4 linked regions of the Arabidopsis thaliana genome follow. The protein of the gene in region 3 interacts with the protein of the main gene of each other region in a biochemical or structural test. Each region holds a gene or a part of one and is shown on either strand. Other genes may lie near its edges.

Region 1 (7,675 bases), on a different chromosome or scaffold from region 3:
TTAGACGTTTTGCCACCTTTGGATCCTCTCCTTTGTGGCTCAATCGGATCTGACTCAAAAAGTTAACCTGTGAAATTTACAAAGATTAATGAGCATTGTTTAGAAAGCTAAACATGGATAAGTTTATGCTTCTTTTCTTTTCTAAAGTCTTAGTAAAATTGTTTCCCATTCAAATCAAAGACAATACTTTAGACGACAATAAGCGTGAATCAGTTTAAAAAGAAGAGCAAGAAAATAAAGAAAAATGGTTCTCGTGAACATAATTAGAGAGAACAATGGACATACAGCATGATACTTTGCTCGTAACCCAAGATGGGGTCGGAAGAGAAAGGAGTCAACTTCATCTATAACCACAGCCTGAAAAAAAATAACATTACATGAGCCAAAGAGAAGAATCCAAACAACCAATTAATAAACGAAATACTGAAACTGGCATAGGAAGGTTGAATAGCCGTACCTTCATGTTAGGATGATCAGCCAAAAGATTTGTCAGATGATAATCAGCATTAGATGCACTCTTGTTTTGAGGATCCCCCAACTATAATATAAAGTAATCCATGGAACAATTAAAGGGATCACAACTGAGAAATTTAAATTAGATACAAATATTTGAATGAACAACAAACAATACCTTGTTCACCAATGACACTAGCAATTTCCGCTCTTGTTCTGATTTGCTTGTCAACATGAAATATATTGTCTGAAACCAAACAAGAAAAAATTTACTGAAGGAAAGATCCGAATCACGTTACCAAGCAAAAAAACTCACTGTAGCTAAAAGAAAACTACGGACCATGCCGTTATGCATCATCCAGAGAAGGATTACATTGATGATACTCAAATCTCTAATATTAAAGCTCATCAAGAATCTTACAAAACCTGGAGACCAGTGCTACTAAACAAGCTAGCACGAGCAGAGTGGTGATAGGATATATACCTTTAAAGCCTTGTCCTTCAGCTCTGGAAGCATATCTTTAGATGATTCATCAAGGGCTGTGACGAAGCGCTCATACCTACAAAGTCAGCATGCTAAGCTGTTAAACGAATCATCGACCCAGAACAATTACGGATAGAAGACACAGATCTTTGACATAGTGTGATTAAACACATCCCTCATGGCATGATTTGAGATCTTTACCTCTGTTTCAAGCAATCCTCCCAGTACCAAAACAGCAAAAGCGAGTAACCATCCTTATTTTCCGGAATGATGTTTAAAGGTCGCTGTAAAAGTGACTTCAGCTTGCGATCAGGTAATAACCTGAAGAAAGAATTTAAAAAACCTCAGTCAATGAGAAAAAGATGCAAGACTGACACATAAATCCATAGCTCATTGTGTGAGTAAGAAAAATGTGCCTGATCAAAATTTCTGATAGAGCCTTAAGACCCTTAAATGCAAATCTTTTTCCAACCTTTGAGGTCACCATTCCTGCAATGAACAGAGTAGATAATGTGAACAAGACATCAACAAAATGCTACAGAGGATTTCACCATTGAAAAACAAAACCAGAAACATACCCAATAAGGCATCAAGAGATCTCATATTTGCAATGGGATTCTCTCCAACCATAATCTCAAAGGCAGTGATTTTATCAGCAACTGTCCCAGACTTTTGAGCAGAAATCACCATCTTCATATCTCCACCTTTTCCTTTCGAAGTTGCAAAGTCCTCTGCGTATTGCCACATCAATCTCTCTCCTAATTCTCTCTTCTTCTCCACCACACCCTTAAAATCCTCCTTATTCGCCACCGCCACTTTCCGGCCACCAAACACCTTCTCCTCAAACTCAGCTGCATCGTTGTACCATTCAGAGCTCAATAAACTCGCTTTCACCAATGGTAACTTAGGCAAACTCTTGAATTCATCGAAACGTTTTTTCTTGTACCCAGTACTCTCATCATCAATCGATAAGAATCCAGGCTTTGGCTTCGGTTGTAACGTTTGCTTCACCGGTGCATCTTTGTTTTGCTTCCTCGCTCCAAAATCTTTTCCCTTTTCATTCCCAATGTTCGATTTTGGCTCTCCTTCTTCATCTTCATCCTTGTGTTGCTGATCCTTCTTAGGCTTTTTCCGTTTCTGGGTTTTGGATTTAGCTGGTTTTCGGAAATCAGTGTCGTTGAAACCCGAAGAAGGAAGAGCAGAAGCTAAGCCAATAGAAGAAGCGAATGATGCGATATCAGATGTGAGAAGACTCAAGTCCTGCGATGATTTACTCAAAGGCTTTATCTTTGACATTTTTTCTCAAAGCATATGAAGAGGGTTAAGAGAGTTTTGTGAGAGATGACTGTTTTTAAAAGAACTGAGACAGTTAGGTTTAAGCAATCTCTGTGCTTTGAGATCGAACAATGAAAAAGAAAGATAAACTTCAATGTTTGGGGTTCAACAGAAATTTTTAGGGTTTTAGAAAACGGCAAGAGAGAAGCAGACAGAGGAAATGGTAGAAGGCTAATTTCGTAATTACGGGATAAGACAAGGGCAAAACAGACTTAACGACCTAAAATCAATGAGACGATGTTTTTTCATTAAGGTTGGGTTCCTGAGACGGTCCAGCCCAATCGCTAGAACATTCAATGCAAATCCATAACTGGTGAGATTTCGATCATGTGGTAAAATATTATACTAATATCTTTGATAGAAACATTATATGTATATCTTTGAAACCTATTATAGGTTAATATACTTTTGCCACTTAGAAAAATTACTAACAACGCAAATCCATCACTGGTGAGATTATATCAGGTGATTAAAAAATTTCGATAAAGGGTAATCCAGATGACAATTTTAATTAAAGAATCTAAAAAACAAGTATCAAAATATGTATGTTTTGAAATATAAATACTAGCTACGTAATACAGTACTATAAATAACTTAAATTGGTCAAAAGTAATGGAAGAAAATATAAAAGGGTATTTGGGTTCAAATCCTAAATAAGTGAAAACTAGAAACGTGAACTCGATCGTGCATTTTATACGCCCTAAAGCTTGAGTTCAAGGTTTTTGGAAGATTGTCCTTCTTTCTTGTCCACCTCCATCGGCATATGGTTATGGGCCTTTGGTTTTGGAGGAGTTGCAATGTGTTGCGACGATTGGCCTGACTTTATCGATGGAGCAACCATCTCTGGCTTGGGAGGAAGATGACTACCGTGTTGGTTCACTTGATATGGAGCTCTAGCCACAGCCCTGAAATCAAAACAATTAATCAACATTTAAGACAAAGTAGATATTGAAGTTTTGATTTACAAAGAACTCTTAGTTAGTGTTTTTTAACTAGAAATTTCTCGACATTTTACTAATAATTTTCCTAGATCAAGGACACATAGATGATGGACTCATATCTCTTATATACTACTCTAGGTCCCATCTCGAATTTCATTGTAACTTGTAAGATTTTTTACATGTTCTTTATAAATGATGACACTTGAGTCACATCTCGAAATCTTACTCTAGGAATCATAATTCATAAACATACTAGGACCACCCTATGTTCAATTTCATGAATGTTCAACTTAAACTTGATTGGTAATACGCTTCTAATCCGATGTGGGATTCCTAGAATAACTCGAATAAGTCTTAATATGGTAATTATTAGCTATTTTTACATATAACTTTTTTAAGAAACTTTGATCCTAATCTATGCATACATTTTGACGAGCGGCCTAGAAAAAGCATAACCAAGCACAAAACAGTTTCGGAGTTTAGTTTACCTGTCTTTTCGTTTAGCAAAGAATCGATGAAGAGAAGCTCTTCTTGCAATGCGTTCCACAACCTGATGTTGCTGCCCAGTTTCTTGATCTTCATTGTTCCCGGAACTCGTTGGCTCGTTAAGATCGGGAATCACCACGTTGCTTTTGTCAAGATTCATGTGACTCTGACTGTTCTTAGAATCAACAGCAACATGATTCGCTTCTTTAGCTACTTCCATTATCTCCTTAGCTTTGTCTTCAGGAAACTCGTTGAAAACCATAACTTTTCCTCCAAAGAATATGGTCAACTGTGAATTTCCAGACTCCGGTGCTACTTTTGCCGGTTCACTAAAATCAAATCAAACCCATTTTTACAATTAGTCAAACTCCATAGTCCATACATCTATAACCGGTAGTTCTTTCTCTAATTCAATTGCTACAAAATGTGAAAACAAACACTTTAGGAGTTCGAATACATATGAAGTTTGTGTGTACAGTACCTGAGATCAATATATATGGCTTTGTCTTCGGTAGAAGTAGAGGCCTCACCAATAGAAAACTTCTGAATCAACTTGAACGGTCTAGTTTCTGAGGTCTCTACCTTCTTAATCACATTTTGTTGTCCTAAAACAAATTAGAACAGAAATTGCAAACCGATTAAAATTTATCAAAATCAAATTACATGTTTATTACGTTTTTTAAAAAACTTCACAGAATCTCTAACTTTAATATACTTAAGCTGTCCAAAATAATACCATGCTTAAGTTTAAAGAAAAGAAAAGAAAAAAATGATTTAAAATTTTGCATTTCAACAAAAAAAATATATAGTTAAACTTTATGCTAATAATCAACGAAGCAGGATACTAAAAGTATATGATATAAACTTTGGTCTTTATAGGCGGCGGCCGTCGGAATAGATAGGGAAAAATAAATAAATACCTTTGAGATCGAATTTTCCGGCGAGTTCAAGATCGGATTTTCGAGCCAACCCCATATTAATATTCCCAAAACTTCCCTTCTCCTTCAAGTACCGGCTGAGCAGACTACATCTCTGAGAAAAATTGGACTTCTCCGGCGCTTGTCCCGTTGACATACTAGTGTGATGAAGATTACAACAACCCAAGATTTTCTTGTGTGACTTCTTTACACGTACAAAAAATCGAGGATTCCAAAGAGTATGTAGATGTTTTGAGCTTTTTGCTCATGTGTTGTTGTTATAAATAACCAATTCTAGCCAATAAGTTTCTGTGGCTTTTAACCTCTCCCGAATAAATAAAGAAAACGAAATAACGTGTTCTTTTTTTTTATTTAGTCTGAAGTGACAGTGATGTGTGTCCAATATAGAATGTTTTTGTCACGAGTTTTGTAACTTTTTTTTTTACACCTAACTGATCGATAGACATTTTTTTTTTTTTTTTGAACACAAAACTGATCAATAGACTAAACACACATTTTTCTTATGATGGTTCAAGAAGAAGAAATTCTTTTTATGGTCAAACATATTATAGGCTATTAATTTCCTATATCCTCAAATGTTTTGTCACGAATAGAAATAGGGAAATAAATTATATGCGGAAAAAATGATTTATTCCTATGGTTGATTACAAAAATCAAACTACAATGTTCGTTACAAGTTCCGGCACGTTTTCATTGCACAAGCCGTGAAGAAACTGTTGTAAGTTGACGGCGACATTACATAAAGGCGTTAACCCATTTAATTCATTCGGGTCCCAAGAGTTTCTGTTAAATACTAATTTACCCTTCTGAGGTAATTCGTTTAGTGGTGGTTAGGATATTCGTTATTAAAGGGCGTAAATGAGGGCATTTGCAAACGCTATAGTCTAACGGAGTTCTGACGGAGTTAAGTCTCGCGTCGGCTGCGATGGCTAATACGAATTTAATATGTGGGATCCATTAGCAACAGTACGACTTGTGAGTGGATATTTATCGATGAATGGTGTCAATTACTTATCCCCGACAAAGTTTAAGGACACGTGAAGTATTGTTATGTGCGTTTAGGATGTCAACACGTGTCGGAATCTTGGCGGTACCAACCTTATTTCATGCATGATTTGCGTTTTTTTTCCCTCTTTGCTAAAGGATATTATAGCGTTCATACTTCATAGGCCTAATTTTCTTTTCTGTTTTTAATTACAAAAACTGAGTGTAATTAATATTAGAATTTGTGGTTTTGTATGTTGGTAAAAGGTTAACGATTTCTGTTTAGTCCTAATATGAATTTTGTTACTTGCTCAGTTAAATATTATTTCTATAACAATAATAATAATAAAATCTTTTAATCGTTTTGTTCAATGAAGTCGAGCGTTGAATTTTATTTGAATAAGAGGCAATGCCAAAGAGTACCAAAAAAGAATTTAAAACAAAATGTCGTAGACGATCGCGCCAAGGGAAAAAATCATTTTTATTGAATTATTTATCGCAACTTGCAAAATGAGAACATAATACTTTGAACTTTGAAGACTCTTCAATATCATATGATTTCAAGAGTTGAACAACAACTTGAGTCTAATATATACACATGTATGTGTGTATTTAATTACACAATATAGATCCATTGTCATTTTCTAATACATACAAAAGACCAAATAATATTCGCTATTTCACATGAAGATTATCTACATTGTTGGAAGCGCAAGTTGGGTTTCGATCACATATTTGATCATGTCCAAAATAAGGGAATGTCATATTCTAACAGATTTGATATGCAAAAATCAAGATTGTGAGAAGATTCTACTAAGACTACCAAACCAACGTTAACGGCAAAAAAGAAAAGGCAACGGCGAAACCTTCCGGTCACCACTCGAAGTTGGACTCTCCTTTAAGCAATAGAGTATATCAACATTTATCAAATAAATAGTTGTTGTTTTGAGACCTAAGTTCATATATGGACATAATCAAGATGGTGTCAACAGTTTTGGGTTAGGTGTGCTTCAGACTTAATCTTTGAGCTGGGTAAGATTTCCTTTCTATCTAGTGTTACGAGCTAGCGTGTCTCTGTAACAGGTTGTCTTCGGGTAAGTTTGGTCTTGCAGCTTGAGCTTGTGGTGGGAATTCTCTGTACAGTCGTTATCTTCATAAATAAAATGGTACTTATCAGAAAATAAAATAAAATTAGAAGACAATATTGAAAGATTATACAACTCATTTGCATTGACGTATGACAATACTAAACATAAAATTTGTTTAAAATTTAGGGGTAACGACTACGAATGTAGGTCCGTTTTACAACAATGACTAAAACAAATTGGTTCTTTGACACCGACAGATACTTTGGATGTGAACACCAAAATGTTGCAGCTTCTTCACATGCTCCTCTTGTACTATGACAATAACATATGTGCCTAAAGATTATCGCATATTAATAAGTATCCATTACATGCGGAACAGGAATAACATTTTTTCAACAATTGCATAATTGAAACCGGATAGAAATACAACAAGGACACTAAGTCAAATCATTAGAATACATGTCATGGTCTACAGAAAATTAATAGATTAGACAAATATTTTGTTTAGTTGCATATAATATCATGAGTAATTGAGTATTAGAGTATTTTACTCATGATACATAAGAAACTTATAACTATTCTTTCGATATTCTCATATTTGGAAATAGTTAGGAACTGTAAAAGCTAAAACTGATTGATGATTACATTTGGTGGCGTCAATTTGTTTTACATTTATCAAATTTCTTTCTTTTTTCGGCATAGGGATACATTTTTTGTCATGCTATAGTGAGTAAATTAGAAATCCGACATAACTAAGCATCAGGAGGAAAATCCAAATGATGAAGTGGTCCACTTAAAAGGTCACGTTAGCTAGAACTGAACCAAATGTTGTACGAGTTTTAAGATTATATGCTCTTGGTCCTAATGCCAAAACCATTTGTTTTTCCCATAAAATTTATTTACATGCGTTATCTTGTAGTATGGCAAAATTTGGAGTATCACTTAATAGTTTTCACACGTAACACG
Region 2 (8,455 bases), on a different chromosome or scaffold from region 3:
GTGGACTGTTGCTGCTACTGGGACTAGAAGATCTCGATTTCTTCGAGGAGAAGAAGAGTTTGCTCTTGAACACCATATTTGACTTCTCTCGAGAGATTTCCAAACCTCAAACCTTACCACAACAAACACGTTACGGCAAAATTCCAAAACGCCATATCCAATTCAAAAGCAAAATCTCTTCTCGCTATGTCTCTTACCTTCAATCTCCGTTACGATTTCAAAAACTTAAGAAAATTCAAAACCAAGCTTTCGATGAATGGACGAAGAAGACGACGGACGTAACTGTTAAGTGGGACACTAATCTTTTATTAAAGCCTAAAACGAAGAAGATTAGGGAAACAAATAGTCAAACCTGTTAAAGACGAAACTTGACTATGATTAAACGTTAATGACTTTCAAACTGAAGATTAAGTACTAAGGACTGCATTTTCTTATTTTATATGCATAAATGAGTAAAGTAGATAAGACTATGAATGAAGAAAACAAAAAAGATAAGACTATGAATATAATTTCTTGAAGATTTTATCATAAATGAATTTATTGTGACTTGAAGAGTTTTAAATTTTTGGAGAAAAATAGAAAGAAATTACATAGTTTTGAATTTTTTGATATTATATAGAAGCTTTCGCCTTTCGCGCGTAATTTTAAATATTTAAATTAATAAATCTAACTAATTTTAATTATCGTTGTGATTTTATATGTTCATACTAAATCGTGTAATAATTTATTATGTATGTACAAAAGTTATAGTTTTGAATTTTTGATTAATAAAAGATATTTCGGTCGTATTTTTGTTTATAATTGAGTTAATCAATCCAACTAATTTTTAATTTTTCATTATCGTTGCAGTCAAATAACATTTTTTTTTCTTTCGAAAATTTAGCTTTAATTAATATTAGAAACTTTTGGGCATATTATTATTTATATATGAATAAAGAAATCTAACAAATTTTCAACACTGCTGGAATTTGATATATTTGCACCCACTAAAGTAATAATTGTTAGATACAAATTTGAATAGTTATAGTTATATTTAATGTTAGAAGATAATATCTATATAAATTATTTGATATGGACCTAATAGATAATTTTTGTAATTATTTACTTCTAATTAAACTAATTCAGATTTTTCGAATAACAAGTATTTTTATTTATTTCTTACTAAATTAATTCAGATTTTTATAATAAAAATATGTTAAAACTTTTTCTTTTTGAATTTAATGTTAAATTATATTAAAAAGAAAAATAAACTTGTTACATATGAAATGCTAATTGTTTTGAGAGTTTTTTTAAAGAAAAGGAACTTCTAATTGTCTATTATCTATTGCCTTGATTCAAAGTTTTAAACCAAACTTGGATGCCATCTTTGAACTTCAATCCTCCACTACCTTGAATTGTGCTCAAACGGTTTCTAAGATTCTTGTCTATAATCTTCACAAGTATTTCCGTCGGTGATGATTGCTCCCCATGCCTGATGCCTCCTCCTATTTTGTTCATTCCAAATTGAGTGTATAGAGTTCTGTCTGTAGTGCATACCTAAGTATGTAGCTCTTCGTTTTGTATAGAAGGTTTTTAGATAAAGTTTTCATAACCTCTGTCCAACTCGCCGAATATCTGTCCGAGAGAATTCCCCTTGTTAAGTCTTCCCATATCTTTTTTGAGTAGGCGCAGTGGAAAAATAAGTGTTCCTTCGTCTCTCTACCTGTTCATTGCAAAAAATGCAACTCGAATCTACATTACATACCACTTTCTCATTGTCTCTCTACTCAAATTCTGTTTTTCACAACCAACCAAGTAAAAAGGGATACTTTGGAGTAACGTATGGGAACCATATCTCATTGTGTCCCTCTATCGACAACTTTGCTAAAACTTGTGTTCAACGTTCTCTTTTTGTTATGTTTTTTCTTTTTAAAATCTGGAACCTATATAAAATCAGCTTATTAGAATATATTTATAAACTTTAATTTTTAATTTTAAAAATATTATATGGTAATGACTTATATAATCTCAAGAAGAATTGTTTTTTCCATAATTCGTATGGAGCCTTATATTTTTTTGGTCTGGCTCTGGTTCTATGTGGCAAGTTTTGCAGCTTGCTCATAAATTCATAATGCCAAGGGTAAGCTCCATACACTCGAACTTGGTATGAACATGGGAGCTCAGCAGTGTACATGTACTTGTAATTTAACCTCATGACTATTAACTCTTACAGTTCCGAAAATAACCTCTTTCTTAGGAACTCTTAGGGTTTATCCAAAAACAAAAATACTTTGATATATTAACAAACGAAATCTAACAACAGTAAAAGAGGAAGTTCTCCGTATGGGAGAACCAATACGAAGCATAAATGCTAGATTTTAACAAATGAAATCTAGCCTTTTTAACAAGGACATGAGCATACCAAAAAAAACTTTAAACGAGAAAAACCATCAATCTCTATAAAAAAGAAGGCCATTCATCCGGGATGGCTACGATCTATAGGTTAATTCTTATCTAAAAAAAACATTAATCAAAGATAAATCAATAATGAGGCACTGCATGACCCAAAGCAAGAATTCAAACTTTGTATGAAGAGGGATCGAGACGACGGTGAAAGCTCTTCTCAACCACATTATTACCATGTTTTGTTGTGTAGAATGAATGAGTCAATGACTCAATGCACTACAAATAATTGCTCTCTTTTAACTTGAGAATAAGGGTTCTTATTATAATGCTTATCAGCTTTAAATATAAAAATAAATAATGTAAAACATTATTTTAAGTTTGATATTAACGACATATTTATATATTTATATATTTATATCCAAGTTGTTCAAAATAAAAATAAATATATATATTTATATCCGATGATTGAATTTCTAATATTGGAAGTTTATTCCGGAACAGGAAAGCAGACGTGGGATATACACATACCGCATCGGATGATTTATATTAAAAAAATATATGTATACATCATTAGAGGAATCATAAATCGGCGGTGTGTGTAACTTCAACTCACGTTTTTCATTTCTCTCCAAAGTCCTTCAATTGTTACTAATTCTCTCTGATCTCTCATTTCTTCTCTTCTCCGGTGACATTTTTTTTCTCCCCCGCGAAAGCTAAACCGTTTTTGTATTCTCAACGATTGATAAGCCTGATGGAGAGAGATTTTCTCGGGCTGGGATCAAAGTTATCTCCGATAACTGTGAAGGAGGAAACTAACGAAGATTCAGGTAATTCATCTTCAACATCTTCCATTATGATCTGATGATTGTGTTTTTCATCTCACTTTTTTTTGTTTCTATTTTTGTAATCTCTTTTTTTGTTTATTGTTCAAGTACATATATATTGTTTTTCTAGCTTGATTGGGAGTCCTACTGTCTGGTTTTTTCTTGAACAAGAAATTTTTTCTTCGTTTTCTCGGGAAGAGAAAAAATAAATTAGGGTTTCTTTTTTCTTGATATATATTTAAGAAATTAGGTTTTAGTACTATAGACAGAAATTTAGCTACTCGAATTTGTTTGACGTAGCCGATGAAAAAACACGTTTTGGGACTCGATAGTTAGAAAATTCATACGTTCACGATCTACTTTTGAAGTTTTTTTCATTAAATATTTTTTGCAAACTACAAATGTACAAGTATACAACTATACAAGCAAACACCAAACTTGTTGACGTTAGTAATTTAACAAGTGTTAGTATTATCTTTGAAAAATAATATTCAGAGAACAAACTTGATTTTCTAGGTGACTAGGTGATGCATGTTTCTAAAGCTGTTGGTAATGTTGAGTGTTTTCAAAATAATTTCGTTTTTTTCTTCAAACAGCCGACACCGACAGAACAAAAATGCTATATTTTTTTTGTTGCTTACAAAATTGATCAATTGGTTTCAATACAATAGTATCTTCTTTAGAAAAGATTGTTTTTTTCAAAGCCGGATTGAATATTGAGAATTAGAACATTGGCTGGTTATTCTTTTTGAAAAGTTTATGCCATTTTTTAAGGTTTATTAAGCAACTTGAATTCTATCAGTATTATTTAAAAACGAAGACGTGAAATGTTGGGAAAAGAATGCGTTATATAGCGACCGGCTGACGATTAGAGATTTAACAACAAATGCAAGTTGAATTATATAAAAGCAAGATTGATTGTGACTTGATTAAGTTTTATTTCTATCCAAGTAGACTCATTGATTAAGTTAGGATCATGTTGGGTATTAAATTTAGATCAAGTTACAATTTGGATGAATAATTTACTTACCCACGAGGAATTTAATAGTTAGTTCTTGTCTTTTTATATTCCGAAACGTGCCATTTCTTGAAAGTATTTGTATGATCACTATTTTCCCCAGTGTGTTTGGCTTTATGCAGATTTGTTCATTGTTGATGAATCTAATGTTAAGAGTCGTCCACTTTAGCATAGCTAGATCTGAGTGTTTCCTAGTTTGATAAAATCTAAAGACATTTGCTCATGTTTCAGCCCCAAGTAGAGGTATGATGGATTGGTCATTCTCAAGCAAAGTCGGTTCTGGTCCTCAGTTTCTTTCTTTTGGGACATCCCAACAAGAAACGCGTGTAAACACAGTCAATGATCATTTGCTTTCTTCTGCTGCAATGGATCAAAACCAGAGAACTTACTTCAGCTCACTACAGGTTAGGCTATTTCTTGAAAAGAAAAAAAGTAGTGATAAAGTGTGATTTAGTGACCTTGTAAGAAAGCTTGGCAATTGGTTTAGTTTCTTCTGGTCTCAAAATTGATACAAAATGATCTCAGGAAGACAGAGTGTTCCCAGGTTCCAGTCAGCAAGACCAAACAACCATCACAGTCTCCATGTCCGAACCAAACTACATCAACAGTTTCATAAACCACCAACATTTAGGAGGATCTCCTATCATGGCACCTCCAGTTTCAGTATTTCCTGCTCCAACCACTATTAGGCATGCACTGCATTCTATCTTCTTCTGTTTAACATCAGATACAGAACCTCTTTACTTCTATAGTTGACTCGAGCTCCTTTATGTTCATCTCCAGATCTTCTTCAAAACCACTTCCCCCTCAGTTGACAATCTTTTATGCCGGTTCAGTATTAGTTTACCAAGACATAGCTCCTGAAAAGGTAACCAAATTTCCTTCAATATGTGTTACATTACAGTCCAAGCTATCCACTGACTAAGTATTCAATCAAAGAAATAAGTTTCACGTATAGACATGCTGAAGTTATAGAAAGTTACTAACCTGGTTTCAACATACAGTATGTTAATGATTCATAGATATGATAAATCTTTGTCCTTACTTCTTCATTTATTTTGTATTCATAGGCCCAAGCTATCATGTTGCTAGCCGGAAATGGACCTCATGCTAAACCGGTTTCACAACCTAAACCTCAAAAACTGGTTCATCACTCTCTTCCAACCACTGATCCTCCAACTATGCCTCCTAGTTTCCTGCCTTCCATCTCTTACATTGTCTCTGAAACCAGAAGTAGTGGATCCAACGGGGTTACTGGACTTGGACCAACAAAAACAAAGGCGAGTTTAGCATCCACGCGCAACAACCAAACTGCTGCCTTCTCTATGGCTCCAACAGGTTATAAATGAAGTCTTAACTCCTATTAATGTTTTGTCATCAAACTTCTATCTTAGGTTTAGTTTGTTATAACCAAAAAATCTTGCTATGATTTAATACAGTGGGTTTACCACAAACACGCAAAGCATCCTTGGCTCGGTTCTTAGAGAAACGCAAAGAAAGGTACTGAGCTACAAGATTATTCACTTATTCACAATATCAAAACACAGGTTTGCTGTATATTGGCTTCGTTTTCTTGCAGGGTCATTAACGTATCACCTTATTACGTAGACAACAAGTCATCAATAGACTGTAGAACACTGATGTCTGAATGTGTAAGCTGTCCTCCAGCTCATCATCTGCACTAAAACCAATTTAGACCCCTCATTGTTCTAAAGGCTTTTTCTTTTTTCTCTGGCTCTGTATCCTATAGACTATAGTATAGTTGTTATAGCTTTTGTTTATTCAGATTTTAGTACACTGGGCTTGTAAAAGCAAGTTATTTATATATATCCTATAAATTTAATTTGGATACTGTATGTTTTGTCTTTACTCTTGCATGTGTATAAAAAACATAAAAGTAAGACTATTCAAGCTCTTCTAGATTTTGTTGAAGTCAACTTTATGTTTATACTTTTTTTTCGATAATTGATATAAAATATTTCCACCAGCAGATGAAAGTCATTTAATTAGTTGGTGCCATGTGCTATATCAGAAAATAAAACATTAGTTTATATACTTAATCAGTCCTCGTCGTCGTCGCCATATATAGTAGATCAAGAATCTTGGATGAGACAAAGAGAAGATCCTGGAGGAGAAAAAGATGACAAAACTCGTTTCCAAGATATTTAAGAGGTTGATTTCTCAAAGTCAGTACATGTCTTCTTCTACTACTAGCAATCTCCCTGCTGCTTCACAAACTTCCAATCTTGAGAGCCAATTGCTTTCTTCAGCTCCACCACCCGCAAGTATCTTGCACATGCTCTCTCTCGTCTAATTTGTGATTAAGTTCTGAATCTTGGTTCTGAATCTTTGTGTAAAAATGTTTTGCAGAGAAGAAAAGAGGGTCAGCGTTGTTATGGTACTTAGTTGGATTCACTACTTATGGTCTCGGTGAGACGTATAAGTTCCTACAAACACAAGTGGTCTGTGATTTTCATTATATACATTTTAATTATACGTGTTGTTCTTTGATCTGCTAAAGAATTTGTTCAAACTCTTTTGTTTCAAGTACAAGGAACATCTTGATTCTAGAAAACAATGCTTGGAAATGAAACCAATGAAGCTGAATACAACGAAAGATTTGGATGGGTTAGGATTTCGACGGGTGGTATGCAAAGGCATTTTCGATGAGCAAAGATCGATCTATGTGGGTCCAAAGCCTAGATCCATGTCTAAAAGTTCTGAAATTGGCTTTTATGTCATTACACCTCTTTTGCCAATCCCTAATGAACCTAATAGGTCAGGGATTTACTCTCTATATGCGCAAACCAAACTAAAGTCTTTTTGATCTCCATATATACCATCTTGATGCAAATATCTTTTTTCTTGTATATTTAAGTGTTTGGATGCAACATCTAGACTAGATGCAAATACTTGCAAATTTTGTGTCTCTTACAAATAAGGTTGCATACAAATGCACCAAAACAAACAAACAAACAAACATGGTCTAACTATCTTTTTCTTCTTCCTTTTGTCACTAGTATGAAGTCCCCTATTCTAGTAAATCGCGGATGGGTTCCTTCGGATTGGAAAGAAAATTCTCTAGAATCTCTAGGTACTGGTGGTCTTGTTGCTGCTGCAAAAGAGTCAAGAAAAGCTAATAAACTTCTCTCCTCTCAACAAAGTCTCTTGTCGAAGTTCTGGTACAAGTTGAACAACCCAATGATTGTTGAGGTTGGTCTTCATTTCATAAACTTAATGAGTACTCAATCATTCATTGCATGATTTGATATCATAGTTAAGTGTTATTGGAATATTTTTTAGCAGGACCAAGTCTCTAGGGCTATGCATGTGGAAGTGGTGGGTGTAGTTAGGAAAAGTGAAACTCCAGGCATATATACTCTAGTAAATTATCCAAGTTCGCTTGCGTGGTTCTACCTTGACGTTCCTAAACTAGCTCTAGCCATGGGGTTTGGTGAGGACACAATGTATATAGAGAGTACGTACACAGATATGGATGAAAGTAGAACTTATCCAGTTCCAAGAGACGTTGAGAACTTGACTCGTAGTAAGGATATACCACTGGACTATCACTTGTACACAGTTTTGTGGTAATTAACAAACATAACATCGAACTTATTGCACTAGTAACTGGTTGTTTTTGTTTGTTTGTTTATGGTAGTGTGCCTGATTGTTTCTATATGCAGGCACTGGAGTTCCCTGACTTGCTTTATTAAGGCGTCTTCGATTTTAATGCGAAGATTAACAAAATCTGATCCTATTGGTGTAGAGCCAATATTGATTCCAATTTCCATTCTCGTTTTTATATGTACCAAGATATACAGTCTTCGTAACTTATTTTGTAAAATAGACACTATTGGTGTTGGGTGTGTCACTAAACTCGACACAGGAAAAGTCAAATGACATGCCCAATGAAGTCCATAATGAAGGGTGAATAAGTTCGAAATCGCGGTTCGGATTGACTAAGATCGGTGGCCACCAGAAGATCGCAGAGAGGATATGGATTGTGAGCTTGATTATAAGCAAAGGAGAAGAGAGATAAATGGGATAATTTTATTACGAACCAGAACTTTTTGTATTCAATCAATTTTCCCGTATGTATTCATCTCTTAGAAACATCTCGCATCTTAAACATCATCATTTGTACTCTTCATTTGTATTATCAGTAAAACAATGGGAAAAATGTCATTTAATCCTCCAATTTTCAAAAAATGGTCATTTTATACAT
Region 3 (7,856 bases):
GGTCACAGCTCTCTTGGCAAAGACAACAAACCACTCCTCGCTCGAGTCTTCAAAGTCATCTTCATCGCAAAACGATGATAGCAATGACTAAAGAGAAGAATTAGAGAGCAGTCTAGTAGATGGACAGTGATTCCTTACGAAATGTAGTGCATACATTTGAAACTGCTAAGGAGTAGATTATAGCCTATAATAATTTAGAAATTTCTAAAACCTTTTGACGCTCAATTAGGGTTGGACACGTTAGATGTTGCGTAATGTCCTAATTACGTTTTGTGTTAAAAAGTGTTTTTTTTTTCTGTGTGATATCCTTTTGTAGATTTTGATAAATGATGTCTCGACTTATATTTATAAGAAAGATCTCACCAAGGTTTAGATACCGAGTATTTAACTTATGGTGTTTGGCGTATTCACATGTTGGCTATTCGCATGAATAATGCGTACTGCGTAGTATGTTTTTTTTTTATAAAGTACTACTGCGTAGTATGTATGTTATGTATGACAAGGCAACAATCCTCTAAGGAGCAACAATCCTCTAAGAAGCAACAAAAGACTTCTCCTGTTCCATCTCAGTCCTATTGACGTATCTGCGAGAATAAGTTCGTGCAATGAAATATTTTGTACTCTCTCATCAGGAAATGTTTTGTTGTGAATTTGCTAACTATTCATTAAGTTTGTTGATTGACGCTATTCCGCTAACTCTCGTGCTAAAACTGAATTTGTCCATTCAAGAATCAAGCCTTTGTATATATATATATATATCTGATTTCTCTTAAACGATAGATGTAATGAATCATATCGTTTTAAATAATGACTAGCCTTGTTATAAGCTAATTTCTTTTCGGCAGCCCATGTCACATGACACATGCTACTTCATTACACATGAATATATTACATATAGCTACTAGGCTCGAATGGTTTCAAACTTCCAGCTTTTGTTGGGCTTTTTGGGTTTTAGGTTTTAAGAAAATCCAAAATTTAATTTTTCCTTTTTCGTAACAAACTTAAGAAAAAAACGGACTTCTTTAATAAAGAAATCTCAAAACAAACAGAGACGATGGATTTTATCCTTTAAAAAGTAAAATCTGTAACAAATTGTTGATATTATATTCTTTTAAAATATATATATACAAAATGAAGGGTGATGGATCAGTTTAAAAAATTCCAAATCCGCACACACTTTGGAGCATCAAATAAAGTACTCTTGACACAGACAACCATGCAACAACATTATACTATTGGTAAGAAAATTTAGCAAACCAAAGGGGTGGATATTCGATCGTCTTGAAATCTTTATAATACTCCATTAGAATGTATGCGTACTATTACGGCATGATAACTATGTCAATAATCTGCCACTAAACAGTGTTTTAATCTAGTCCAATTGTAATCTCTATTGTAATCAAATTGCCATTATTTAATGTACATTTGGTAACTAATTGTAATCTGAATTAGTCTATTTAGTACATCTTTTACGTACAATTAATCTAAAGTTATCCAGAATGAGAAAACGATCATCAAACAAAGTATAGTTAATATTACATGTACAGATGATAAATGTCTCCTTTCGTTCTTTGTTTTTATTTGGCGATAATGTGCCCTATAATTTTAAAAGCGCATGCTTTCTTCTTATCACTCACACGTTCTCTTCGCACTGTCACTCACATTTTCGAGGAGATTATTGCTAAAATGTTTGGAAACAAACACAATAATATATGTTGCAGAAAAATCTCTTTAATAATCGACCACACATGTCTCCACGATTTTTTTGTATGATTTTAACTTTTTCTTCAAAGATTCATAACCTCGCTTTCCCTCCCCCACAACCCTTTTAAGACATCTTATGTTTATATCCCCATGTTTCATTTTGATTTCACCATTTTGGACCTTTATGACATATATTGATTTTTTTTTATTTTTTTAAAGGGTATTATTCTAGTGGTTTCACTTCTTCTGTCAATATCAAGAAATCCATTTAGCATTTGCATGTTGTGCATCATGATTTATGCGACAAACTTAATTACTCTGAAGTAATCTATGGTTCAAAATACTATTTAGAACGATAATGATCATGTAACATCCACATAAATTTTGAGGTCCTACATTGGAATCTCTAAATAGCTGTGATTGATTTAAATTATCCCTATTGAAAACAAAAAAAAGTAGGTATATTCGTTCCTAACAAATTAGATGCCTCTTTTGATGCCAACTTCCCAATGACTAGTCCCAAATGATGAACACAAAAAACTCACTTGAAAGTGAAATACTCAAACTTTAACTCAAAAGACAACAAAAAACTCCAACTTCAGTCCCATTTGTCTTATTTCTAACAAAAGCCTTATTTACATACATACACCAACAAACCAAAGACTTAACCATTGATCAAACACATTTATTTATCTCATGAAACAACAAACCCCAACCTAATCATATACTACACTAAGAATCCTCTCTAACAAGCATTCAATAGCAACAAGTGGGTACTACAAAATTACCCTTACACAATAGAGTTTACAACTACATTCACTAGAGAAACTTGTGTGAAAGGTTTAACACTTTTTACCGCGGCTTATACTATGATCGTTGTTTTCGACTTTTCGCAGTATTCTCCGGTGTATTAGCCCTAAAGATGCTGACTTCAATTCATGGACATTCTCCAACTTTCTCCGTTAGAGCAACCTTGAGTTGATCTTGCGTGAAAAACTGATTCCCCATTTTCACAGTCGCTTGTTGGATCATAAGATCATTCACTACCGATAAACTCGCATGATTCACTTCCAAATCCAACTCCTTAAGTGCTTCCATGAACTTAGCACCAGGATGATTCCTCTTACTACATTGAATCCTTATCATTGCATCCCAACCAATAATCTTCACATCAACCTCCATCTCTATCAACACACTCGATTCTTGATTCAAACATTTTCGATCTTTTACCGAACTTTTCGCATTTCCCGCTTCTTTATTCATCACATCAATCTGCTTCTGCAACTCTTCTTTATCAGATTCAGCCTTTTGCAACTTAGACTTAAGCTCACTGATATACGAAATAGCATCTCCTAATAGAGAAGCTTTATCCATCTTAGACACATTAGGAACCACAGCTCTTAAAGAATAGAATCTCTGATTCAACTTCTCTCTTCTCTGTCTCTCTGCCTCTACATGATTCAAAGGCTCTTCTCTTCCATTCGCCGGTTTTCTCCCTCGTTTCCTCGGTTTCTTCTCCGGTTCAACCACAACTCTGTTACTCTCAGCTTCTTTAGCCACTGAAGCTTCAAGATCAGAGTGATTCGAGTCACATGGAAGAACAGAGGTAAAAGAAAGCATCCCTTCTTCATTATTCGAAACCGGTGATCTCTTCTTATTACTACTATCTTCTTCTTGACCATTCTCAATCCCATTCTTGAAATTCACCATTTCACAAGATTTCAGAACTTTAGGGTTAGGGTTTTCAACAGAGCTTCCATTACAAAGCTTAGAAATTGGTTGAGAATCAGAATTAGAAGTTGAGTCATTTCCACCATTATTCATCACCGGAGCAGCTACAAGACCAGAGTCAACACCATTAGGTTCACTAATCCACAAACCTGGATCATTCTCTCCTTGATCTGGATTCAAATTAAACGCCCAAGAACCAAATTCACCACCACCATTGTTAAAATTGAAAAAGGTGTCAACTTTATCAACAAGATCTGAACTTTGATGAATAATCTCCGACGAACCAAGCTCAACGACACCATTCTCTGTCGCTACACACACCATTGTTTGTAACCCATAAATCTGACCTTGACGAGCTCTCTCACAACTTGATCCAGCTAAAGCATTAGAACCAGATAACCAAATCGTGTCTGAATTTGAGAAAGCTTGACCAGGTAAACCAGTACCCTTGACAAAGCTCTGTGTCATTGAAACTAAGAAGAACCATTCAGTATCTGTAACTTCTTCATCTCCAGCTTCATCTCCTCCTCCTACACCACCGGAGATTAAAGAGTTGAGCTCTCTAATCACTCTCTTACGATGCTCTTGTTCAGCTGCACTAGCTGGATTTGATTTCTTCTTTCTAGACTTCTCTTCTTCTCCTTTGTAATAACCATCTCCCCAACCTAACAACACTGTGTTGTTGTTGTTGTTGTCTTCTCCGGCGAAACCGTGAGATGATTGCCAGAACACGGCGTAAGTCCAGTTCTCGTTTGCTCCTTCGATTAAAGCTTGGAGACGTTGCTGGAGATTATCTTCGTTGACTTGAGGAAGAGGAGGAGGAGGAAGTGGAGGAAAAAGAGAAGAATGATCGGAGCCGCCGCCGATGAAAGCTTCCATTACCGATGCATCGTCGTCGGTTGACCAGAGATTTGTTGTATCCGTTTTTGATTGGTTGAGATGGTAATCGGTTACTTGAACATTCGTCGGAGACATAACAGTTCTCTGACGTAGTTATAAAAGAGAAGACTTTTTGTTTTTCCGGTGAGAGACAGAGGAGAGAAGTAAGTTCTTTAAGCAAAATATTTGTGTTTGGTTTGATTGTTTCGGGAAAAGGAATCTGTTTATATTCATTTTTTTTTTTTAACTCTAAAGAAAAAGAAATAGTACTTTTATTTTCACCAAATATGAATTATTGATTGAGTTATTTCTGAAGTTGGGTTATATACATAACTTGATTGAAAACAATTTTTTTCTGAATAGTAATTGTTTTACAAGAAAATTACTAATCTATGTAAGAGAATCGGATCAAATTTGTCAAGGAGCCTTTTACATCAAAGTTGATAATTAAGAACAATTAAAGAATGAAAATGATATTTCACTTACAATAATGATCTTGTCTCCCTCACTTTTGGTATTGGTGTCAATATCTGCTTTTCTTGTGATTAATCCCATCATTTAATTCTTGTAAGCAAGTAGCATCAATTAATTTAAACAATGAGTTTGTAGAATTGCAGTTGTTCTTTGAGGCAGGAAAATATGATTTAAAGGGATTAAGGGAGTGTTAACACCAAAGATTTGGATACAACATTTATATACAAAACCTATAAAGCAAATATTGTAGACTTGTAGTTTAACATTTTCTTATAAACATATTTTTGTTGGCTTCGTTATTGGACACAACTTTTTGCAATGATAAAGAACAAAAAAAAGACATGGGTGATTTTGATATCAAAGGTGAAAGAGACGCAAGAGCATAAAGGAAAATAAAAGGTATAGTATTAAAACAGAATTAGATTTAATTACGAAAATTATACGACCACACAAAAATAATCACATTATGTCGTGTGGGTCTCGTGTTTTTAGTGGCCAGATTTCATAATATGCTTTCTTTTTCAGTGAGAGCAAATGCCCAAAAATGTTGGTCTCTCTATGTTCATATCCGACGAAACTATAGTGTCTACTGTACAGTGACATTTCGGAATCGCATAAAAGCAAACAAAACAAATTAAGCTGGGCTTTACTTTATATTGGGCCTCACACATTTTGGGTAGTTAATAAAACTAGCCCGCAAATATTTCACATTTGACATTTTTTAGTGTATGGTCAACAACAAGTATAGCGAAACTTTTAGCATATAATATGTGTGAGACATATTATGGAAAGAAGGCAAAAATGAAAACCGTTAGTTAGTTTGAAAACCTGGAGTTATAAAAAGTCGTATTTTAATTTACTAATACATGTTAACTTCAGATATTAAAAACAAATCCTGTACGTATTAAACCATATGATAAACATAATATTAATACGAAAAATGTATAACACACGATTAGACAAATTAGGAAGTAATCTTTGAATTGAGGTTTAAGAAAAGGTGAAAATGATAAGCTTTCGTCCGTTTTATATCATCCATGTTGCTTCAGAAACGGAATTTACACACTACGTGTCGTTTCTACGTAATGCCATTTTCGTAATTTCTAGAGTTTATTCAGGGTGTTTTCGTCAGTCTAGTCAGATCAAATGTTTCCATCAAACGTTAGTACTGTTTCCTTTAGATTTACAGATTTTGAAGAAGAAAGATTTCAAATTAAAAAATCTTTCAAATTTCTTCAAGGAGGTGATCAAATTGAACAATTTGATCTACAATGGCTTCTTCTTCTGCTGACAATCTTACCGACAAAAACATTGTTTTCAGAAAACTCAAATCAAAATCTGAGAACAAGGTAATCAAATTTTTTTCTGAATTCTTCTCTTTCTTTGAGTATCGTCAATTTGATATTGTGTATGTTTAGATCTGAGAGTTGTTTGACTAGATCTTTGATTCATTTATGCTAATTTTGGTTTTGATTTGCCAATTTAGGTCTGCTTCGATTGTAGTGCGAAGAATCCAACTTGGGCATCGGTTACATATGGGATTTTCCTCTGCATCGATTGTTCAGCTACTCACCGGAATCTTGGTGTTCATATCAGCTTCGTCAGGTAAACAATTCATCATCTGATCCAATTCTTCGGCATTACTCTAGCTCAGATTTTGGCTAAGGTTTAAGCTTTTGAGGCCTTTATAAGGGAATTAGCTTAAACCGTGCTCAGGTGTTCAGAATTGTTGGCTAATGTGTAGCATTACGTTGACTTTAGTGTGGTTGAATCATCAGATTATGTTTTAAGGTTTCAGAATTGTTGACTTCAAAATTTCACCAGTGTCTTGAAATTAGACTCATTCAAATTATCGATTCATTGACTAGATAATATTGAATAATGCCACATTACGTTCTCAAGATGCTACCTTTTCCGTTTTTGTATAGATCAACGAATTTAGACTCTTGGAGCCCGGAGCAGCTCAGGACAATGATGTTTGGTGGTAACAACCGTGCTCAGGTTTTCTTCAAGCAACATGGATGGACTGATGGTGGCAAAATTGAAGCTAAGTATACTTCAAGAGCTGCTGATTTGTATCGGCAGATTCTTGCTAAAGAAGTTGCGAAAGCGATTGCGGAAGAAACTAATTCTGGTCTTCTGTCATCTCCCGTTGCTACTTCTCAGTTACCGGAAGTATCTAATGGGGTTTCTTCTTATTCTGTCAAGGAAGAGTTACCTCTTTCGAAACATGAAGCTACCAGTGCTACTTCTTCGCCTAAAGCTTCTAATACAGTTGTGCCTAGTACGTTTAAGAAACCTATTGGTGCTAAAAGGACAGGAAAAACTGGTGGTCTTGGTGCAAGGAAGCTTACTACTAAGGTAAGTCTTAGGGGTATTTTTTTGGAGCATTTACGTTTTTGTTCTCTTGTTCAGATTAAAAGATTGGATTTTGTTTTTGGTGAAATGTAGCCAAAAGACAATCTCTATGAGCAGAAACCGGAAGAAGTTGCACCGGTTATTCCCGCTGTATCATCAACAAATAACGGGGAAAGCAAATCATCAGCTGGTTCATCATTTGCCTCTCGGTTTGAGTACAATGACGACCTGCAATCTGGAGGACAAAGCGTTGGTGGTACACAAGTGCTTAACCATGTTGCTCCACCAAAGTCGTCAAGCTTCTTTTCGGATTTTGGAATGGACAGTTCTTTTCCCAAGAAATCAAGCTCCAACTCTTCAAAATCTCAAGTAAACACATAATTTCTCAGTAACAAAATTAATAAATCGAAATTCCAAACCTCTTCTAAACCATTTCTTTTTCTCTTACTAGGTTGAAGAATCAGATGAAGCAAGAAAGAAGTTCACAAACGCAAAGTCCATATCTTCAGCTCAGTACTTTGGGGATCAGAACAAAAACGCTGATCTGGAATCAAAAGCTACTCTTCAGAAGTTTGCAGTAAGTAACAACATTCACCACAATCTCAAAGGAACATATAACAACATCTTCCGATTCTAATGCCATTGTTGGAAATTACAGGGCTCAGCATCTATCTCAAGCGCTGATTTTTACGGTCACGACCAAGATGATT
Region 4 (7,220 bases), on a different chromosome or scaffold from region 3:
TTCTTCTGAATGCAGCGACGGAGCATTGCACCGTAAGCATGAGAGTCTAAGCCTGGGATTATCGAATCCGACGATTCTAAATCCAATGCCGCAGTTTTCACAGAAAACCCACATTGTCGAATGCGATTGCATCGGATCATCAATCTGCGAGTCTGCGCAACATGAATTATTCTCATGAACACGATCATGCGGATTACGAGCAGAGTGGAGACAAGTAGTGGAGTAGTGTCCAATCCGGTTTATTCAAAACCGGTTTTTCCCAACTGAGATCGAATGATTCTGGATAAACCAAATTTAAAGAGATATGGGCCGGCCCAATAATGTGTAATAGTGTGACCCATGTGGCCCAGATTCGATAACCAAATTCAAAACTAGGGTTTCTCTGAGTCTAAAGGCTTCACCCTATAAAAGAGGGCTGTAGCTGTGATGACCCAACAGACTCAGATTCGTTTCGTTAGCTCTCCTTCTCAATACTCTTCGTTATTTGTTATTCCATGTTTAAGATCTGAATTTCTAAGCTAGGATTGCTAGAATTTGTTTTGAAGTTGGTGTTTAGTTTTCCTCTTGTTTTTCTGAATCTTAATTTCAACTGAAAAAATTGATTGAACGAATCGGAGCAGATGATGAATATTTTGCACTACAACGGTGCTTTCCTATAACTCATGCGGATTATATAAATCGAGCTTTTTAAAACTGATGTCCCGATTCGTCAATCTCTTTTCTAACTTCTGTTTTGTTTGCTCAAAACTGATAATGGTGAATTTTAAATTATGCAATTTCCTTTTTTTTTGGGTTATGAAATCTCTCAGTTCCGCAGATTGTATTGCCATCTAGCAAGTAATTTTTTTTATAATCAAATTTACAAGGATTTTCCTCAAATTAAGTATTCCTGTTTCTTAAGTTTGTTTCCAAACTGATGTGAATCAGTTAGTACAGGTTTTGTTTTTGGACATTCATTTTCTCGATCTGTTGATTGATATAGGATGTTTCATTCTATTGGAATGATTTGGCCGAATGCTATGTAAATAGCTGGTTGATATATTAGATTTTTTCCAGACGAACAGGATAAACTGTTGGTGTTGGACCAAATCGAATCAAATAATTAATTTGAATTACTCGTGATGAATCAAAGATATTAGGATTGGCTTATGCAGTCAACTTGACCAAAGCCAAACACTTGACTAATCTGAATCTGAATCTAAACCAAACATCTGAATCAGAGCTACTAATTAAAACTTGATATACGGTATTCCATCTTCAAAGCTTAAACAACATGATGTAAGTTTAGTACTCTCATTAGCCATTGCAATGTGCAAACTAAGTTTATGTCATCGCAGTAGATTAAATGAGAAGCAATTTACTTGACACAACTTAAAGAGACACGAAAACATTTTTAAGAAACTACATGTAATAAAAAAACTCTCACGTATGCACATGGTGGTATTTATTTCATATCAATAAGCTACAGTATCTTGGTTTCAATGATAAAGAAGACGCAGTGAATGGTTGTGTGGTTTTTGTTTCTTAAATCCGGACCAGCCATCCCTTTTTTGTTAGTACTAGTGATGGATACTATTCAATGAAAGGGGTAATTGTCTAAAAGAAGCCACACAAAGTACGTTCACTTTACCACTTCTTTTCATCTTCATTCCAATGTACAAATTCCACCAAACTCATGTTAAAAGACTTTTGACATAAAGACACAATTAGTCGGGTAGACTTGATAGTATTATATAACTAATACTCACGTGTTTCTTAAACTGTTTTCCATTATAACAATTAGGACAACCCAAGCTAGAGACCAACCAATATAATCAAAGATGAATGGCCACATTTCCTTTAATAATACTCTGATACGGAAGCTTCATGAGAAGCTAAAAGAGGCGTGTTATAATTTTCTTTACCATATACTAAAAAATAAAACAAAAGTAGAAGGTCACGGGATAAGAGAGAGCTTCTTAAATCAAGCTATCAATGACAATAAAGATAATAGACATTTTTAAAAACAAACCAATATATATAATCTTAGTAGGTAACGTAATCTCCTAAAAACGTTTGTCGTGAATAGTATACGATTTAGCAACGACGAAGAAGGCTTCAAAAGAAGATTGGAAATAAGCCAAATCCAAAAACGAACATGGATGTCTTCCGATTGAAAAAGACAAATTTGGTCCATGTCCCAATCTAAAAAGAGATCGTTTAGGCCGATGTCGGATAGTAAGGAGATGTTGATACTAATCTGCAAACACAACAAGACGAAAAAGAAAATGTGAAACCGCGTTTTGTGATAACTTATATAATATACAGATCTTTCTTTGGCCGTATGGTCTGATAAAAGTAAAAGTTCAAATTTTTTTCCGGTGTTTCTCCTCGTTTTCTCATCATTTTGAAAAATATAACTTGTCGGTGTAGCAAACAGAACTAGAGTCAAAGACTCAAAGTCAACGCGCTTTTTAAAAGTTCCATTACAATAGTAACCTACGTATACCGATATTACTACTGATCTCCATTATCTATCTACGTATAAGCATGTGCGTTGTTGAACAAAACTAGTTGAATCTTAAGTTGTATGTGAGAGTAAAAGAGGCAGGACCCATAATTACTATCTTAAATAACTTATAGTAAAAAAAAGGTCGAGAGAGAGAAAAATAAAAACCTTTCTTTAATTATTTGGGGGTAAAAATCCTTGGATTGTTGAAGAATCATTACCTCTCCTTGCGCTTCTCGAGAAAACGTTGCAGTGACTTTCTCCTTGCGATGGGAAGATCTGCATACACACGCATAAACCAGTTTCTTATCAGAAATTAAACAACATGTTTATACTTTTATTAATAACGTATATTAATACGTATAGACATAAACTATAGTCTTTAACTCTTTGATATCTAATTCCAAACTAATTAGCAACCAATTCCTCTCTAACAACAAACTCTTCTTAGATCTCTACATGCAATAATATGTAACTAAAATTCTAGAAGAATCCAGCACTAAGTGATTTTTATTTTTATTATACTAACCTCCTTCTAGATTCTGGCCAAAGAGCTTTGGTCTTAGAGTGGTCGGAAGAATTACCGAAAGATCTGTCTCCATCGACGACTCGTCTTTCTTAGATGCTGCTTCATTAGCGACCTTCATAATTTCACCAGCTTTGTTACGAGACACTTGGAAAACTGAAACACTTCCATTGTAGAAAATCGTCATAGGAACAGTTCCCGAAACGAGTTCGGTACTAGACCTGAGGAAAATGAATGTTTTGAAAATTTGAATTTCAAATTTTTTCGTCTTTTCTGGTAGCGCCAAAAAAGTTAGAAAGAAAAAAAAAACTTTACCGGAAAGACAAAAATACCTGGCGAGAGACGCGTGGACCGGAGAAATCGGGATCTGAGGCTGATCTTCCCTCGGAGTAGACGGAACCGAACGAGATTTAGCCGATGAATCGGAATTGTTTCCAGTGGAAGCTAACAGCGATTTGATAATCTCCGGATCGATTTTCGAAATCGCACCTTGAATATCTGCAGGAGTTCCATATGAATAAATTCGATTTATCGCAAGAAAAAAAAAAGAGAGAGCGACTAAAAACCAAACGAACCTCGGAAACTACGACGGCGATCGAGAAATTTCTGGAACTTAGGCTTAGGAGCGTTGTTGGTTTGTTTCTTCTCAAGTCCGAGGAAATCGAGTTCTATGGTAGCTTTCGACATCTTCTTTGATCTTATTAGAAAGTGAGAGAGAGATCAAGACAGAGAGATATGGGTTTTGAGATGAATAAATGGAGGAATAATAACGGATTCTGATTTCTCATGTGAGAGTTTTTAAAATGTAGTATGTCTCTGATACTTATTTAACGCACGAGGTTCATGCTTTCTCTTTCTTTTCGGCACAATTGGCAACCTATCCACTTTTTCCTTTTTGTTTTGTTTTTATTAGGCTCCCAACCTCTTCTCTTACTTATCTAATTAATTTAATGATTCAAAACACATGTTTAAATTCTTAATATACCTAATGTAATGTAATTGCTTGCTACGCAGAAAGAAGATATTTTATATCCGGAAATAACGGAAGTCCAATGAACATTGTAATGTTTTATAAAAATATATCTTCAAAAATTTGGTAACATGTTTCTGTTACTGTTCGTCACATTGGGTTCTTCTGACATTATATTTGTTTTCTACTCTAGTCTCTGATCTGTATATTTTTCTCGAAACATGTTTTTCTTTTCCATTTTTTCTTAATATGAATTTTAATCTTGCTACTACTAGCTCTACTAGTATAGCAAATCACATTTAGTAGATATCAGTCTTATTGATTTTTCAATATAAACAAAATTTGACATTACTATTCAAGAATAATATTTGGTTGACCTAATAATACAACTGAAATTTCTTACATTTCTAAACTAAAGTACACCAATAAACTTTCATCATATTTGGGAAAGTAACCAATAAAACATACAAATAGGGATTTTAGAACAATAAAATGTTGGTGGTGATTCACAGTTAGTGTTTTGAAAGAAGAAGAAAAAATAAGATTTTCAAATCCATTCAAAAAAAGATTTAAAGAAAACACCACTGCAGATGCATAAAGACTAGGTCAAGTCGGAACTTGGAAGTTTGTTTTCTGCCAAACCAGAAAAGACGGGTCGATCCTTTGGACGATGTCGATGGTTTTTCTTTTCTTTTCTTAGTTTCACATTTTGGCTGGTGTTTTTTTTTCACATGTGGCCGCTCTTTTTCTTGTTCTCTTGTTTAAAGCATATGTGGCTGCTCGTTTCCTAACAGATTTACATATTATTACATTGTTCTCAAGTAAAGTTATAGAGGGATTCAATGAACTCACGTTTTTCTTTCTTGTGAAAATATACCTTGAACCACTTCCGAATTAAATTGACCTCAATTTTCTATCTTGTGCTCAAATTTAAACTTCACCTTATTCTATCGCGCGCATGTTAGCTTAATTAGTTACATTTCTCCTTTTTACTATTTTAAATTAAAAATCATATAACTACAAAATGTAGTGATTACGAAAAGTAATTTTTTTAATTAATATTCTGAACTAATCAAATATTAAAAAAGAATTACGTATAAAAAACTTTTTTAGTAGTATATATTTGATGCCGAAAGTGAAAGTTTTTTTTTTTTTTTTTTCTTGGCAACCGAAAGTGAAAGAGTTAGATGCATGTCTTTCACGTGTTGGGAGCTGTAGTAGTAGTAGTTAATGTCAATACATATCATTATTCACTAGGCTAAGGTGCACTTCTCGATAAGTCTTTAGAGGTTTTCGTCGCTCTCTTTCATCTTCTCACGTTCCAGAGTCAATACGCCTTATTTATTCTTTTTCTTCCGATTATTTTTATTTGTGTTATCACACGTTTTGTCAGTGCTGCCGATTTTTAATGTCGATGTATTTTTCAAGCTGACTAATTTGCCCCTCTGTCCACCTTTCATATACGACCTTACCCTTCTTTTGGCCTTTAATCTCAGAAACACATATTTAACATTTTCAAATTTTTTGAATCGAATCTTGAAACGAAATATGAGAACACTAATGTATAGTGGATTTATTATATTGGATTTAACATGTATAGTGGATTCATCATTACTGTATTATCTATATTTTTTTTCTTGCATAAAACTAAATGGCCGAAACTTTAAGTCGTTTACAGCCCACACTAGTTAGTACCCTTACATAAGAATATAATTGAACCTATAGTTGAAAAGCCCCTTAAGGTAGTAAACCCATTTAGAGAAGAAAAGCCCATTTGAAGAAGTAAATCTGTAAATGAAACGGTTGTTCTTGTTGTCGTTCATTTCCAATACCATCCATAGTTTGCGTAAGGTTTGCTCGCCAAAGTCGTCGGATTCTGAATTCTAAACGCCGAGATCCGATGATACGAGTGATTGTTTCCGGCGAACTATGAGTGTTTTGAAGCAGGTTACGTGTAGAGAGAGCATCGATTGATGAATAAAAGCCAGGTTAGTGGTCTCGTATCGATTACTTGGTTCAGAAAAAAAAAGTAAAATCAATGGGCCAAATTTATTAAAATAAAATTGCAATGGAAGCTTCAACCATGAAACAGGAATACAAAACCAAACTCAAAAAAACAGTAAAGCTTCTTAATCAACAACAACAAGCGACTTATACTCATCTTTAGAAATAGCAGTCTCCATCATCATCACAGGATCAATCTCTCCATCATGTTCCAAAAACATTTTCATCAAATTCTTCGAAAAGCCACTCACCAAAGCCACTCCTTTCTTGTTTCCCGGCACCGGCGTTGCTCTCGAATCCCTCAAGTTCCAAAACACTATCTCCGGCACAACGTCTCCATACCCATTCTGTTTATACTTCCTCACAATCACTTCATAATCCGTTTCCCATCCATTACTTGGATTACTTGGAGGCTGCCTTAAAAATGCATAGCCTGGTCTTGAATAATGTGACGACGACGCCGCTTGATCAAACTCCATATCACTGAACACAAACACCCTCTTGATCATCTCTTCCGGCTTCAGCTTCTCTTGTACGGCCACTCCAAGAATCAAATCAAACACTTTCTGAAAATCAGTGTTCATACCCCATTGCATTTTTTTAACAAACTCTGTTTTTGAGTACAGATCGTCTCCTTTCACCAAATGCAACTCCGGATTTTGGCTGAAAGTTATTAGCTTTCCTTTCCATGGCTCTTCAGATAGCTCAGAGACTAGCAGACCCAAAGCCACACAAACCTCCATTGGTTCACCATTCATAGACCCTGAAACGTCACAGACAGCTATACAATTCCTCAAAGAACCTTTCTCTTTCATATCATCTACCGTTCTCTTCCATTGCAGCTCTGCTACTTGTCCACCGTCTCCACCGTCTAACTCTCTGATTATCTCATGAGGCAACACAGCACCAGCAGCTACCTTGGTTTTCCCCGCCTTTGCATCGTCAAGATATTGCTGAAACCTCTCTGCGTCGTGCTTCAAGAATATCTCCTTGTACGACTTCATCGCCACTGATGCTACACGGTTGTACGGAAGAATATCCCAGTTTCTCGCTCCCATATATACTTCAGGCAGTTGCAGAGTTTTACGCAGAGGAACAAGAACATCTTTCCTTAGCCGATCACGAACTCTGTATGCATAGTGAGCTTCTACAACGCCTTCGTATTCAGGGAATGATTCTCGAGTAAAGATCTTCCTAGCAATGCTCTCGCAGAGAAGAGTTGCTTTGTCAAA

The links.
Region 1: the proteins of MYC4 (region 3) and JAZ6 form a complex in vitro, tested with the Arabidopsis thaliana proteins (one study listed by BioGRID).
Region 2: the proteins of MYC4 (region 3) and JAZ4 form a complex in vitro, tested with the Arabidopsis thaliana proteins (one study listed by BioGRID).
Region 4: the proteins of MYC4 (region 3) and JAZ10 form a complex in vitro, tested with the Arabidopsis thaliana proteins (one study listed by BioGRID).

The regions. Positions count from the first base shown.
Region 1 is NC_003070.9:27,271,364-27,279,038, forward strand, and holds JAZ6 (jasmonate-zim-domain protein 6), read right to left. Parts: upstream 5,200-7,675; 5' UTR 4,774-5,199; coding exon 4,620-4,773; intron 4,305-4,619; coding exon 4,181-4,304; intron 4,029-4,180; coding exon 3,702-4,028; coding exon of another isoform or gene 3,698-3,701; exon of another isoform or gene 3,178-3,697; coding exon 2,973-3,177; 3' UTR 2,605-2,972; downstream 1-2,604. Other genes in the region: EDA25 (CCAAT-binding factor), read right to left, coding at 1-67, 286-357, 458-538, 632-700, 938-1,013, 1,139-1,258, 1,354-1,426, 1,516-2,233. UniProt on the Arabidopsis thaliana protein: Repressor of jasmonate responses.
Region 2 is NC_003070.9:17,928,522-17,936,976, forward strand, and holds JAZ4 (jasmonate-zim-domain protein 4), read left to right. Parts: upstream 1-2,868; 5' UTR 2,869-3,136; coding exon 3,137-3,212; intron 3,213-4,078; exon of another isoform or gene 4,079-4,458; coding exon 4,459-4,631; intron 4,632-4,752; coding exon 4,753-4,916; intron 4,917-5,010; coding exon 5,011-5,095; intron 5,096-5,297; coding exon 5,298-5,565; intron 5,566-5,666; coding exon 5,667-5,727; coding exon of another isoform or gene 5,728-5,734; exon of another isoform or gene 5,735-5,806; coding exon 5,807-5,912; 3' UTR 5,913-6,141; downstream 6,142-8,455. Other genes in the region: AT1G48490 (Protein kinase superfamily protein), read right to left, coding at 1-76; AT1G48510 (Surfeit locus 1 cytochrome c oxidase biogenesis protein), read left to right, coding at 6,368-6,512, 6,598-6,689, 6,776-7,005, 7,248-7,440, 7,531-7,817, 7,914-8,130. UniProt on the Arabidopsis thaliana protein: Repressor of jasmonate responses. Interacts with and suppresses RHD6 and RSL1 transcription factor activities to negatively regulate jasmonate-stimulated root hair development.
Region 3 is NC_003075.7:9,931,062-9,938,917, forward strand, and holds MYC4 (Basic helix-loop-helix (bHLH) DNA-binding family protein), read right to left. Parts: upstream 4,625-7,856; 5' UTR 4,411-4,624; coding exon 2,641-4,410; 3' UTR 2,265-2,640; downstream 1-2,264. Other genes in the region: AGD8 (ARF-GAP domain 8), read left to right, coding at 6,060-6,137, 6,275-6,393, 6,717-7,149, 7,240-7,515, 7,598-7,723, 7,805-7,856. UniProt on the Arabidopsis thaliana protein: Transcription factor involved in jasmonic acid (JA) gene regulation. With MYC2 and MYC3, controls additively subsets of JA-dependent responses. Can form complexes with all known glucosinolate-related MYBs to regulate glucosinolate biosynthesis.
Region 4 is NC_003076.8:4,215,482-4,222,701, reverse strand, and holds JAZ10 (jasmonate-zim-domain protein 10), read right to left. Parts: upstream 3,875-7,220; 5' UTR 3,702-3,874; coding exon 3,590-3,701; intron 3,513-3,589; coding exon 3,018-3,512; coding exon of another isoform or gene 3,013-3,017; exon of another isoform or gene 2,768-3,012; coding exon 2,706-2,767; coding exon of another isoform or gene 2,663-2,705; 3' UTR 2,240-2,662; coding exon of another isoform or gene 2,200-2,239; 3' UTR 1,789-2,199; downstream 1-1,788. Other genes in the region: AT5G13230 (Tetratricopeptide repeat (TPR)-like superfamily protein), read right to left, coding at 1-188; AT5G13210 (Uncharacterized conserved protein UCP015417, vWA), read right to left, coding at 6,114-7,220. UniProt on the Arabidopsis thaliana protein: Repressor of jasmonate (JA) responses. Interacts with and suppresses RHD6 and RSL1 transcription factor activities to negatively regulate jasmonate-stimulated root hair development.